Linked DNA regions of Kluyveromyces lactis. The protein of the gene in region 3 purifies or fractionates together with the protein of the main gene of each other region. This does not show direct contact. Links are inferred from orthologs where the notes say so. Each region holds a gene or a part of one and is shown on either strand. Other genes may lie near its edges.

What was found.
Region 1: the proteins of MRC1 (region 3) and MCM2 purify together in Saccharomyces cerevisiae (affinity purification with western blotting; 4 studies listed by BioGRID, with this or other methods). This does not show direct contact. The link is inferred for Kluyveromyces lactis from reciprocal best matches to the Saccharomyces cerevisiae genes MRC1 and MCM2.
Region 2: the proteins of MRC1 (region 3) and MCM3 purify together in Saccharomyces cerevisiae (affinity purification with western blotting; 5 studies listed by BioGRID, with this or other methods). This does not show direct contact. The link is inferred for Kluyveromyces lactis from reciprocal best matches to the Saccharomyces cerevisiae genes MRC1 and MCM3.

The regions. Positions count from the first base shown.
Region 1 is NC_006042.1:1,165,428-1,169,565, forward strand, and holds MCM2 (MCM DNA helicase complex subunit MCM2), read right to left. Parts: upstream 2,917-4,138; coding exon 283-2,916; downstream 1-282. Other genes in the region: NCL1 (tRNA (cytosine-C5-)-methyltransferase), read left to right, coding at 1-53; KLLA0_F12606g (uncharacterized protein), read left to right, coding at 3,653-4,138. UniProt on the Saccharomyces cerevisiae protein: Acts as a component of the MCM2-7 complex (MCM complex) which is the putative replicative helicase essential for 'once per cell cycle' DNA replication initiation and elongation in eukaryotic cells.
Region 2 is NC_006041.1:1,980,025-1,984,217, reverse strand, and holds MCM3 (MCM DNA helicase complex subunit MCM3), read right to left. Parts: upstream 2,944-4,193; coding exon 148-2,943; downstream 1-147. UniProt on the Saccharomyces cerevisiae protein: Acts as a component of the MCM2-7 complex (MCM complex) which is the putative replicative helicase essential for 'once per cell cycle' DNA replication initiation and elongation in eukaryotic cells.
Region 3 is NC_006039.1:35,225-39,450, reverse strand, and holds MRC1 (chromatin-modulating protein MRC1), read left to right. Parts: upstream 1-1,276; coding exon 1,277-4,054; downstream 4,055-4,226. Other genes in the region: ribosome biosynthesis protein KRR1, read left to right, coding at 1-867; VAC17 (Vac17p), read right to left, coding at 4,121-4,226. UniProt on the Saccharomyces cerevisiae protein: Required for normal DNA replication. Phosphorylated in response to DNA replication stress. Phosphorylation allows it to mediate the activation of RAD53.

The DNA.
Region 1 (4,138 bases), on a different chromosome or scaffold from region 3:
AGAAAGAAGAAGTACCTGCTGTAACTGTCACTGAAACATCCACGGCTGAATAAGTTTCTTCACTCCACATTATCAGTTATAGACTTCTACATGAAATTATAAAAGCGGTATTCCTTTGAAGGTTGAAGTAATCATTATTTAAGTCTATTAGTTACAAATTTGTATATTATGCTAATATAAGCGATGTAGTACTGCATCTATAATGGAAAAAATGGGAACGGTATATTGTTGTTCTGAGCTTATAGAATTGTTTTCTTCCGTTGGAAATGTTGAATCTTGATTTCACATTGTTCCCATAGTATAAACAGCGAAAGATCTTTGTAGTTGGCGACGTACACTAATCTTTTGTGCACCCACAAAACTGTCCACTGTTACTTTAATTGCTCTGTCTAAATCCCATGAGGAAACGAATTCTGATAATCTCATTTTCGCGAAGGCTTCAGCAATTCTTAAGATAGATTCCAAATGACGAACGGTGATCGGGAATGAACCAGTAGTGACACTCTCTCGTCTCAAATCAGCATAAACCCTACTCACTTTGTCCATATCCATTTGATGTAACTTAGGGTAAACTTTAGTTCTTGCGTAATGAATATACTTCATTAGCATATGCTGAGATATGGGCGAAATTTCTTCTTCTCTTTTACGAAGGTTCTGCAAGCGTCTTTGTTTGGCAGATAACGGAGTTTCTTCATCACCCTCCCCATTAGGATTTTCCGTTGGAACGTTACCATCATCAAAATCATCCAGATCCTTGTCTGGATGAGACCTGATATGTGAATCAACGACGAAAGATGCTAGCCGATTATCACTTTCTTCATCAACCAAATCTCTTACCACGCAGAGGATATCGAATCTTGACAAAATTGGTTCAGTCAAATTGACATTTTGTGATAACGGAAGAGTAGAGTTGTAACGACCACCGATCGGGTTGGCGGCAGCTAAAATAGAGCATCTGGCTTGTAACGTGGTAACGATACCTGCCTTAGAGATGGATATACTTTGCTGTTCCATTGCTTCGTGAATAGAAGTACGATCCTGATCGTTCATCTTATCGAATTCATCAATCAAACAAACACCCTTATCCGCAAGCACTAACGCACCACCTTCAAGAGTCCACTCTTTAGTTATTTGGTCCTTCCTGACAGAAGCTGTCAAACCGACTGCAGAAGCACCTTGACCTGTAGCGAAGACAGCTCTGTTGGCAGTTTTTTCCACGTATTTCAAAATTTGGGACTTGGCAGTACCTGGATCACCGAGAAGTAGAATGTTTATGTCACCACGGATGGAATGCTTACCGTTAATGTTTTTAGGAACACCTCCGAATAAAGAACATGCAATTGCTGTCTTGATATCCCTGTGCCCATAAATAGATGGAGCCATTGATGAAATGATTTTATCGATGATTCCTCTGTCACGAGACATCTTTCTGAATTCACGCTCTTCGTCTTCTGTCCAACTGAAGGCATCCAGCCCTTCGTGTTCATCACCATCATGCAATCCGCCTTCTCTTCTCTTCACTGAATTGGCTTCCAGTACTGTTGCGAAAACGGGGAACCCGTTCTTTGCATTCAAATTACCGTCATATGTGTTCTTATAGATTCCTGTCACTTCGACTTCTTCACCAGGTTTTGCGATATCAACCAAGTCCCACAACAAAATGACTTCTCTGTGACGTGGTAATCTACCGGCTGGAACAGACCCTGGTGATTCTTGGATGGTGATTCTTTGGTAATTACGGTACAGAGTTTTTTCCATATTAATTCTGAAGGGACCCTTAGATCTACAATTTGTGCAGAACGAGATTTTAATTTCTTCATTTGAATCCTGATAGTAAGGCCCAAGTGTGGCACCACATTTCAAACAGTTGAATTTAACGTATTTAAGTTGTGGGAAGACACCAGTTCTTCTTGTCACGACACCACTAACTCTAACTAAAGAATTCAAATGAGTTTCACGTAAAGCACGTAAGTTCAATATACTAGGGAAATCCGAGATTCTTACGTGAATTTCCGAGTGAATACGAGTATAATCGGGATAGTGTAGTTGTGTAGCTTCCATAGCCACTGTATCAAATATTTTCAACATTTCTTCGGGAGATTTGGCTAAAAATAGGGCTAGAATGGCCTTGGATTCTACCAAATGTCTATAATTAACTTCCAAGGATTCAGAGTTCATTTCACCGAGAGTTCTGATACGAGCACCGTAAACGGATTTACCTGACTCATCAGTATATTCAAGCAAAAACGATTTCAACTCTCTGGCAATAGTACGTGATACATTCGGTTGAGTGATCCATTCAGAATAACTTGATGCCTTCACATCTGCCAAAGATTCCAACGAGAGCTCATCTGCCAACGGATCTATATCCATATCTGATAACAAATCATCATCTGCTTCTTCGTATTGACGTCTTCTACGTCTCCTCTGTACTGGAAGACCCATAGCATCCAAATTATGCGCACCAGCTCCTTCGCCATCATCATCATCAAGGTATGCTGTGTTCCTATGCACCAAACGATCTCTCTCGTTCAATTGTGCATCGATTCTTCTACGCTCAGCGAGCGACAACTCTTGCTGCTCCTGGTCGTCGACTCCTCTTCTTTCATACGTATCATGTTCTGTGTTTGAAGCGTAATCACGGTACATATCATCACCCATCAAATCGACTTCATTCATTCTTTCTTCCACATCTTCAAGATCCTCTTGAACATTGACAGCTTCATCTCCATCGTTATCTGGATTCTCAAAATCTATCTCATCTGGAGATCCAAGCGGGTCTTCAAACTGTGGAGAACTAGGGATGTTAGCGCCACCTTCACGGGGTTGTGTAGACAAAGAATCATCCTCATCCTCATCATCATCAGCTCTTCTTCTTCTCCTCCTTCCGTTATTTATTTCATCATTATCAGACATCTTGAAACACTTTCAAAAACAGCAATTAATAATCTTCAATTATCGCACTACCAAATCCGATCACACAATTGTCTTCCTGATGCTTCGATGACCTACTTGTTACACTTTGTTTCAGACCATTGGGATCTAAAGCTATCTTAAGATCTTAACGTTTTTTCCGGCTTTTTTCTTCAGTTGAATGTACGAAAATGATCTTTAATTGAAACAATAACATTTCCTAAAATGGTGTTTTGCAACGATCTGACCATTGTAGAGCGTTGGGGCTAATAATACAGCAATGGCAATATTCCAATAACACCAATCGGTAGTTCTCACCTCTTTTAGCTTTGCAATCTACATTTGATTAGTATAATTTCTTTATTATGATGCGTGGATCACGTGATAATCACATGGGATCATACGCTTAAAAACCGTACTTATAGCTCCAATCACACGATGAAGCAACACAATTGCAGGTAAAGTATGGATGTTGAAGCTCTGGAATGATGTGATGCATTTTGTGCCCCATATTAGATCGATTTCCATCCGGTAACCGTCCAAATGTGTCGATATTGACGTAAAATCATACGGAATATTGATTCATCGACATGGAAAATCTCTTACTATCAATGAAATATCCCCAAATTTAAACATAAGGAACACGTCAAGTTAAAGGCAAAAAGGGTACCTTCATTCACGCATTTCTTACTACAAGGTGAGTTCTGGCACTTAAAGATAGTCTTGTTGGTGTTAGGGAATGAGCGAGATTAGCGTTAAAGAATATGTGAAGCGACAGGAGGAACTGGAAGATGAAGCAAATAAACTGATGCCATATGATCCAAGCCATTGCACTTATTCCATGGGCCCAATTCGACAGCCAATATTCGCATGTCGTACTTGCAACAGTATAGGAGTGTGCTATTCATGCTCTATTCAGTGTCACAGTACCTGTGACTTGGTGGAACTTTTCGATAAGAGGAATTTCAGTTGCGATTGCGGTACAGAAAGGCAGTTTGAACACGGTGAGAAGTTCACACCTTGTAATATAAGAAAGAATACTACACCAGATATACCAGACATGAGTAACAGGTATGGCCAGAATTTCAAAGGGTTATTTTGCTCTTGCCATAGAGAGTATGACCCGAATACAACGACAACGATGTTACAATGCGTCCTTGGCTTGGAGTGCAATGAGGACTGGTTTCATGATCACTGCATTCTAGGGATAGAAGAAAACCCAGAC
Region 2 (4,193 bases), on a different chromosome or scaffold from region 3:
GGATGAGATACATTCCCTGGGAGTCAACTTCATCTAAAAGCGCAGAAAATTATACATAACGTAGAGAAAACCATTGCATAGAAAAAAGCCCGCAAATGTAAGGCAAGATGATAAGCCTGTATATATGATATAAAAATGAAATTAAGATTATACTCTCCATACTTTGCCATCCGCGACCATTAAATTGTTTCTATCGCTCATAATCCTTAGACCAGCAACGTATTCATCAACAGTGAATTTTTCCTCTTCTGGAACTTGCTCGTTAATTCTTTCGAAAAGTGCGGCGACAGGATACGATTCTTCCTCGAAAATGTCTGATTGCATGAGTCTTGCAACAATACCTGAGAGTGACGATAACCTACCGGTTGAGATTGAACCCTGGTCCATCTCTTCGATGGACATAAAATCAAGGGTCATATGAGACGGTTCCAATTGAGAGCCAGTTTCAAGGGGTCCAGTTGAGGATTGCGAGGAGTGGTGGAGAACCTGTTGTTGATGGTCGCTTTGTGAAAGTACTCTTCTTTCGACTGATAGTTGGCGTCTCGGACTCACTCTCAAGTTTTGTTCTAGTCTTCTTTGAAGGTCTTCCTCTTGTTCTGGTGCTAACCGTACCATCGTAGATTCCAGACCGTCAGCAGGATCCGGTTGAGTCTCTGCCATTTCCTGGTCCTCTTCTGCATCCTCTGAGTCAACTTCTTTGTAAACGGCCCCTCTCTTCTTCCTTGGAGAAGCTCTTGGCTTCTTTCTTGGAGATTTTTCGGTTGTTCTGCCTTCGGCAAATTCCTGTTCGTCGAAGTTGGCTCCGTCCTCACCTAGTAATGCAAATCTTAGTAATTGTGTTGCTACCTTTGCATCTTCTAGTTCTACTTTCTTTGAAAGCCTTACCTTGGCATGAGCACTGGATAATCTGATTAAAGTTTCTAGAGTTCTTGCCGTGATAGGGGATTTCTTGGTGTTCTGATCGTTTCTTAGATTTGAATATGATTTGATGATAACGTCTACAGCTTCTTGAGTCAATTGAGGAATAATTCTCTCTTTTGCATACTGAATGTATTTTCTGATGAAGGGTATCGCAACAATTTGAGGAAGCTCGCTACCATTGCTATCACCTCTGTTCTTTGCAAGCTTCGCACCGGCGTGTAGAAGTGGATTGAATTTTTCGAAAACTACGTCCTCATCATCATCTTCTTCCTCGTTTTCGATATCTTCACCAACAGCCAATGATAGATTTATTTGCTCTCTAACAGGTTCACCTTCCAAATATCCAGGAGGTAAGTACCTATGTGTTCTCAAGACATGTTCACTGATAGCTCTATCTCTGATGTCGTTGATATCATCCGTAACCACAAATAGTAAATCGAAACGAGATAATAGAGAATCCGGTAGGGCAATATTTTTATGTGGATCTTTGTTAACGTCATATTGACCGAAAACAGGGTTTGCAGCTGCGATAACTGAACAACGAGCATTCAATGTTGTATGTATACCAGCCTTTGCGATTGTTACTGTTTGTTGTTCCATAACTTCATGGATAGCAACTCTATCTACGTCGGACATCTTGTCAAACTCATCGATACAAACGATACCACGATCTGCCAACACCATCGCACCTGCTTCTAATCTTCTTTCACCAGTTTCTTTATCAGTAGTGACGGCTGCTGTCAAACCGACACCAGAGGAACCTCTACCCGTAGTGGCAATAGCTAATGCTGCTGTGTTCAACACAAATCTAAGCATTTGAGATTTAGCGGTGGATGGATCACCAACCATAAGGATATTTATGTCACCTCTTAGATGTGAACCGTTGGGTAAATTTTTTTCCACACCACCCATAAGCATTAATAGGATGGCTTTCTTAATGTGTTCATGGCCATAGATGGATGGTGCTAACGACTGGGACAAAGTGTCGAAAATATTATCATGCATTGATAGCTTATTGATATTTCTAATATCATTATCTGATAGCGTTTCAACGGCGGACACACCTGTAGACCTGGCATGTAGAGGGTACACTGTGTTACCAATTACAACAGTTCTGAAACCAGATAAAGCACCGTTACCCTTGTCGTTGTTATTAGAACCACCTGTTAGACCACCTGCACCTAATGACTTGTATACACCAACAATATTAATTCTATCACCTGGTTTTGTCTTATCCACTAAGTCATCATCCAAGATAACGTCAATGGATCTTGGTAATTGACCAGGAGGGGCCTTTTCGGGCATTTCTTGAACGGTGATTCGCTGGTGATCCATGTAATGACAAAATCCATACTCTGTGACCAGCTTATTACCTTCTTGATCCTCCTCTGGATAAATAGCTGGTGTTGGTACGGATGTGGTTAATGTTGTAGTCGCATCACGATAATCACGGTAATGATGATGGCCTGTGGTTTGGGCATAATGCACGGATCTGAGAAGTTTTGGCCTCACAAGTGAGGTTCTCGTTACAATCCCCTCTACTGAGATCAATTTATTCAAATGTGTTGAGTTTAAGGTACGTGGTGATAAAGAATTCGGACCGAAAGAACCCTTGAATGACAGTCTCCATTGTCTGCTGGGATCATTTTGGAATCCGCGAAACCCGAGAGGGCTATCATCTAAGGCCATTGCAGTCTCCGAAACAGCACGCTCCGCTGGTGGTAAAAAGAACGAGGGTACTTGTAAAAGTCCAGTCCAAAATGTTTTGTCAAATTCTCTTAAATCGTCAAGTGATACTGTTATTCTCAATGGCAATTGATTAGTGTCATGGTCCATCGTATCTTTGTCTGCAGTATTTAAATAATCATCATCCGTCTTTTTCTCTTTCACTACGTTGCTGTTAAACTCGAGTATTGATCTTATTTCTCGAGTATAATGCGAATGGGTATCCAAAAACTCTTGAAACCTTCGCATTCTGTCTGTAAAGACAGCATCACTTGTTTGATTCATAGCATCACTCATGATTGAATTCGGTACTTATGGTGTTTTTCAGTAGCAAAGTCCTTTAAACAGGGAGCGATAAATGCAATAATATTATTAAAATGAAGGTGCTAAAAATTAATGTTTCATTGGCACCAGTGCTGTTCTGGGATAGAAACGTTCTTGATATGGTTCTTCTAGTTTATTTTTGTCAGAATCGAGTTTCAGCTGTATTTTACCAACAGAATACGGCAAAGAGAAATGAGATTTGATGTTTTCGTCAATATCTTTTCCGTTTTTGGAAAAGAAAGAGGAATAATTTTCCGGGTAATGAGAAATGGCAACGCGTCAAAAAATAAAGGAAGAAGGGGTTAAAAATAACGACAACAGCAGGACTCGAACCTGCGCGGGCAGAGCCCAAAAGATTTCTAATCTTTCGCCTTAACCGCTCGGCCATGTTGCCATGTTATATGATAAAATGATGTTAGGTTCATATCACATGATCCAGAAGATGTCACTCATTATATTGTGAATTGGTAAATAATAAATACTATACCGCGCTTCACAGTGCAAGAAGAAACTACAGACCCTTGCCAACGTTCTGAACCTAGTATGGACATTAGATGGTATTAAAGAAAGTAATCTAACGAAATCATATTTGCCTACAATTGAGCTTTTGATATTGAAAGTTATCGACGATGAGCCAAAATTTGAAAAAATAAAACAAGGATGGTTTCCCAACCGTTTAGTAACTGGCAGTCTGCAAGTGCGGAAGAGTACACACACCCCATATTAACAGGGTTCAATGACAATGTAAAACGACAAACGGAAGCGTTAAAGAAGATTTAAATATATAAGAAATAGAATTAAGGATATAATGATATTTAATTGAGTGAAAAAAAAAATTACTGGAATAGAGAGAAAAAAGCTGATTTAAAAGGAGAAAGTGATAAAGAATAACGTATCTGATAGTATTTCCATCAATGACGCTTGACAAGGAAAGGAGCGATTGAGTGTTTTCCAGAAAAGAAAAAACAGTTTCTTGTTCTCCAACCAACAATTATAACTCAAAATCCATCCCATTGCTGAAAACCCACGTAAAACACCCAGAATATCATATAAGTTAATATATATAATTGGATGCTTAACAGTAGACGAAAAAAAATGGGGAATTAGATAGCGTACTAAAGAACACCGGGAGTAGCAACCAAAACCGTTCCAGGAAGGAAAACGACTTTTGTGGAAACACAGAAAGATGGACAAGTGAAAACATGCAAGGATAAAAAAGGAAT
Region 3 (4,226 bases):
ACTCTATTTCCAAAGTACAGAGAAGCGTACTTGAAATCAGTTTGGAAAGACGTTACGAGGTCTCTCGATGCACATCATATTGCATGCGAATTGAATTTAGTTGAAGGTTCTATGACTGTAAAGACTACAAGAAAAACGTATGATCCAGCAGTAATCTTGAAGGCTCGTGATTTGATTAAACTTTTGGCCAGATCTGTGCCATTCCCACAAGCAGTGAAAATCCTAGAAGACGATGTTGCCTGTGATGTTATAAAGATTGGTAACTTTGTTTCTAATAAAGAAAGGTTCGTGAAAAGAAGGCAGAGACTAGTGGGTCCTAATGGTAACACTTTGAAAGCCTTGGAGCTTCTAACAAAATGTTATATTCTTGTCCAAGGTAATACTGTCTCAGTAATGGGACCATATAAAGGATTAAAGGAAGTACGCCGTGTCGTCGAAGATTGTATGAAAAACGTACATCCTATTTACCATATCAAAGAACTCATGATAAAGAGAGAACTTGCTAAGAAGCCTGAGTTAGCCGAGGAAGACTGGTCTAGATTTTTACCTATGTTCAAGAAGAGAAATGTTGCAAGAAAGAAACCAAAGAAGATCAAGGAGAAGAAAATATACACACCATTCCCACCTGCACAATTACCTAGAAAGGTTGATTTGGAGATTGAGTCCGGTGAGTATTTCTTGAGCAAGAGGGAGAAGGAAGTCAAAAAGTTACATGAGCGCAGGGAACAACAAGCCGCTAAACACGCTGAAAAGGAAAGCGAGAGAGCCAAGGATTTTATTGCACCAAAAGAAACCGACTACAAAAGCTCAATTTCAAAATCTACAAAGAGCTCTTTAGGAGACAGGAAAAGACAGCGTACCGATTAAAGCGCTAGTAAGTATTTTATTATATAATCGCGTTTCCATCCTTTTCTCATGACTCAAATTAAGAAATATAGTTTTAAGTTAAGTTTCAACCAGTTGCTTTGTTCAAAAATCGTCCCAGTAGACACTTTACGATTATATTTATGGACCACGTATACGCTTTTCACTAACTATCATTCATGCCAGCAACGTTCTTGCTTTTCCTTATGTCAAAACCTGCGGTGTGACAAAAATATAGTACGTACGATCAAGAAGGTTTTTTGAAAAGAAAAATGAGAAAACGCGTAAATATTTAAGGCTCGCAGCCCAATCTTATAAGCACGATAATGTTACCAGGTAAGGCATTATTATAACCGTTTTATTAAAGGAATTCAACACCTTGCAAACACTTCGGCACATTATCAAGTGCAGAATGGACCTACTAGATGATTTGAACGTTGGCATTCATAAAAAGAAAGGCAAAACATATTCTAAAGCGAACGATGCAGAAGATGAAGAGCTGAACGTGGGAGAGCACAAGTTTCTAGCAGAGAATCTGCTTGAAAGAGTCAAAAAGAGACTAAATGGAGATTCAGATGATAGCACTGCTTCGGCAATTGATAACAGTAAAAAAAGCACATTCTTCTACAGTGATACCGATTTGTATGAAGGTAAAGAGTTGGACGATGAGTTTGAGGCAATGCGTGAAACTGCTGCAGTACCAAAGCAGCGTGAAGTGGAAATCCAACAGAAAAAACATCCAATATCTCAGACACAATTAATTCCTACATTCTCTTCATCTTGGCTGGCAAAGACTCAAGTAAATACTCAGGCACTGGAGGGCACCAACAGAACCATTGATAGACAACAGCAAGATTTAGACACACAATTGAACAATGAGGAAATTACACAGACTACACCAGATGAACACACTCTTGATAAAGCTGCAACCGAAAGTAAATTGCTGCACAGTAAAGAAACTTCCTTTCGAAATACTTCGTTTACATTTAAGTTGACAACAAACAACAATGAAGGACTACTGGCAACTAAACCAAATGGAACTCAAATAGAGAATGAGCAAAAAGTGGTCGCTACTCAACTTGATGTTGCTGAAAAGGAGAAAGCCGTGCCTCTTATAAAAGATACTATAGAAGAACCACATTTACCTGTAGCACCATTAAAGGCTGTCCGAAAGAAATACCTCCCTGAACAGTTCATTGCAGCTTTTGATGATTCGGAGTCATCCAACGCAGAAGATCTTTCAGATGAGGAAAATGATGCTGATGAATTGAAAGATATGGCATCTACTCAAGAGTTAGTCACGAAACAGAAGAGTGTTGTTACTAATATGAATGGGATTATTGCCATTACTATGAAAAATAGTCCACAAAATGTTATTGAACTGAACTCTTCGTCCGAATCTGAAGATGACTATAAATCACAATCGTCCAAGGCAGCATTATTGCTGATTAAAGCTAAGAGATCCAGGAATAAGGCTACTAAAGCAAAGAACATGCATGTTTCTACAGTTGACTCTTTGAAGGAATTGTTTACATCTTTGAAAACAAAGAACAGAGACCAGATACTTGAATTTAGAAGAGAAATATCCGGTAAAAAAGGAATATCACTTGAAGCGATTGAAGATGAAAAGATTCAAGTTGAAAAGCTTCTAGAGCAAGAGCTTGAAAGGAATAGGAGAGTTAAACTAAGAGAAAAAAGAGAAAGAGAGAAATCAAAAGATACGAGTAAAGCTGCATCTTCTGGTAGCGCATCCGATGTCCCTGATAGCGATGTGATGGAGAGTGATTTAAGCTTATCAGATAGTGATGTCGAGCAGCATTTAGGGCTACACGGGTCCACTGGTTCAGACGAAGATAGCGCGGATACATCGGCAGCCCATAAAAACAACAATCCTATAATAGATGATGACGAGAGTTCTTCGTCAAGTGATGATAATGAAGTCACCCAGGAGCCGATTGGCATCAATTTAGGGCATTATGGCGATAATTTAACTTCCTCAAATGTAACGGAAAATGATGGTGCTGATCAAAGTGACAGAAATGTGCCTTCAAATTCAGAACTGAAGATGAACAGATCACATTCAGCGAAATTATTGGTGGGAGAGTTAAGTTCCGATTCCTCAGTAGACTCTGATTCCTCAGAGGACGAGCTCGACGAAGTAGAAAGGAATAGGCTTCAAGAAAGGGCTAAAATGCGCCGAAGAATGGAAATAGAGGCAGCAAAAAAGCGGAAGCAAGTACTTAAATCAACTGGTCTCAACAAAATATTGGAAATGGAAGCAGAAGAATCTGAGGATGAATGGCATGGTGTTGGTGGTGCTGACGGAGAGAATTCAGATGACTATGACTCAGATTTGGATACCATGATAGATGATTTTTCCAAAAGCAAGTTTGATACCGCTTCAATAAGAGAAAGGTTAGCCTTAGAGAACAAAGAAATGGACGAAAGGATGATAAATAAAATCTTACATGATATCAATACCGGAGGCTTTCGTAAACGTGGCCGAGGAGCACTAGATCTTGAGTTAAGCGATGATGAGGATGAGTTACTACGACAGTTTAGGGAAAAAAGAAGAGAAATAATGAAACAAAAGCTACTAGAAAATGTGGACGGTGTAGTCAATAACTCAAAATCAAAAGCCTTTTTCGATAGTATGGTGGAAGATATAACTAGAAAGTCAATCCCTGCTGTCACATCATTCAGCAATACTCGAGATGAGATGGGAAAGAAGAAAATTGTCATATCAGAAGAGTTTGTTCAGAGTTCATTATCGTTTTTAAGTGCAAAAGATGATGATATCAATGAATTTGAGGTCACTGAAGCAGCACATGATGCAACTGAGGATTTGGAATCTTTGAAACAGCGAAGCAATATTAAATCTCTCGATTCCCCTCAAAGGAATAGAAACTCCGCCTTCTTTGATGATGTGGATGGTACATCTCTGGACTTCAAATTGCCCAGCATCGTAAAGTCTTTTTCGTCAAACTCAGATGTTAATGACAAGTTCAAAACGGGGATCAAAACTGTTACTATATCTAAATCTTATAGAGTAGCCTCTGGTTCTCGATCTGCCATCACTTTCTTGGGTAAAAAGAGAAAATTGAAGGCACCCCAAGGCCGAAAATCCACACCGTTGGTACGCAAACCAACATCTAGCTTGTTTGACTCCAATTCCGATAGTTTCACCTGACCCATCCAACTAATATGTCAATTTCATTATAAAATCTCTTAAAATTACATTTGTATAATCATTATATCAGAAGTTAAATTCAGTGTTCAATGCCTCTTGAAGTTCATTATATGAAACAGTACAAGTTACTAATGGGTCATTTAGCCCACGGATGAACTTTGCGCCATTCGGT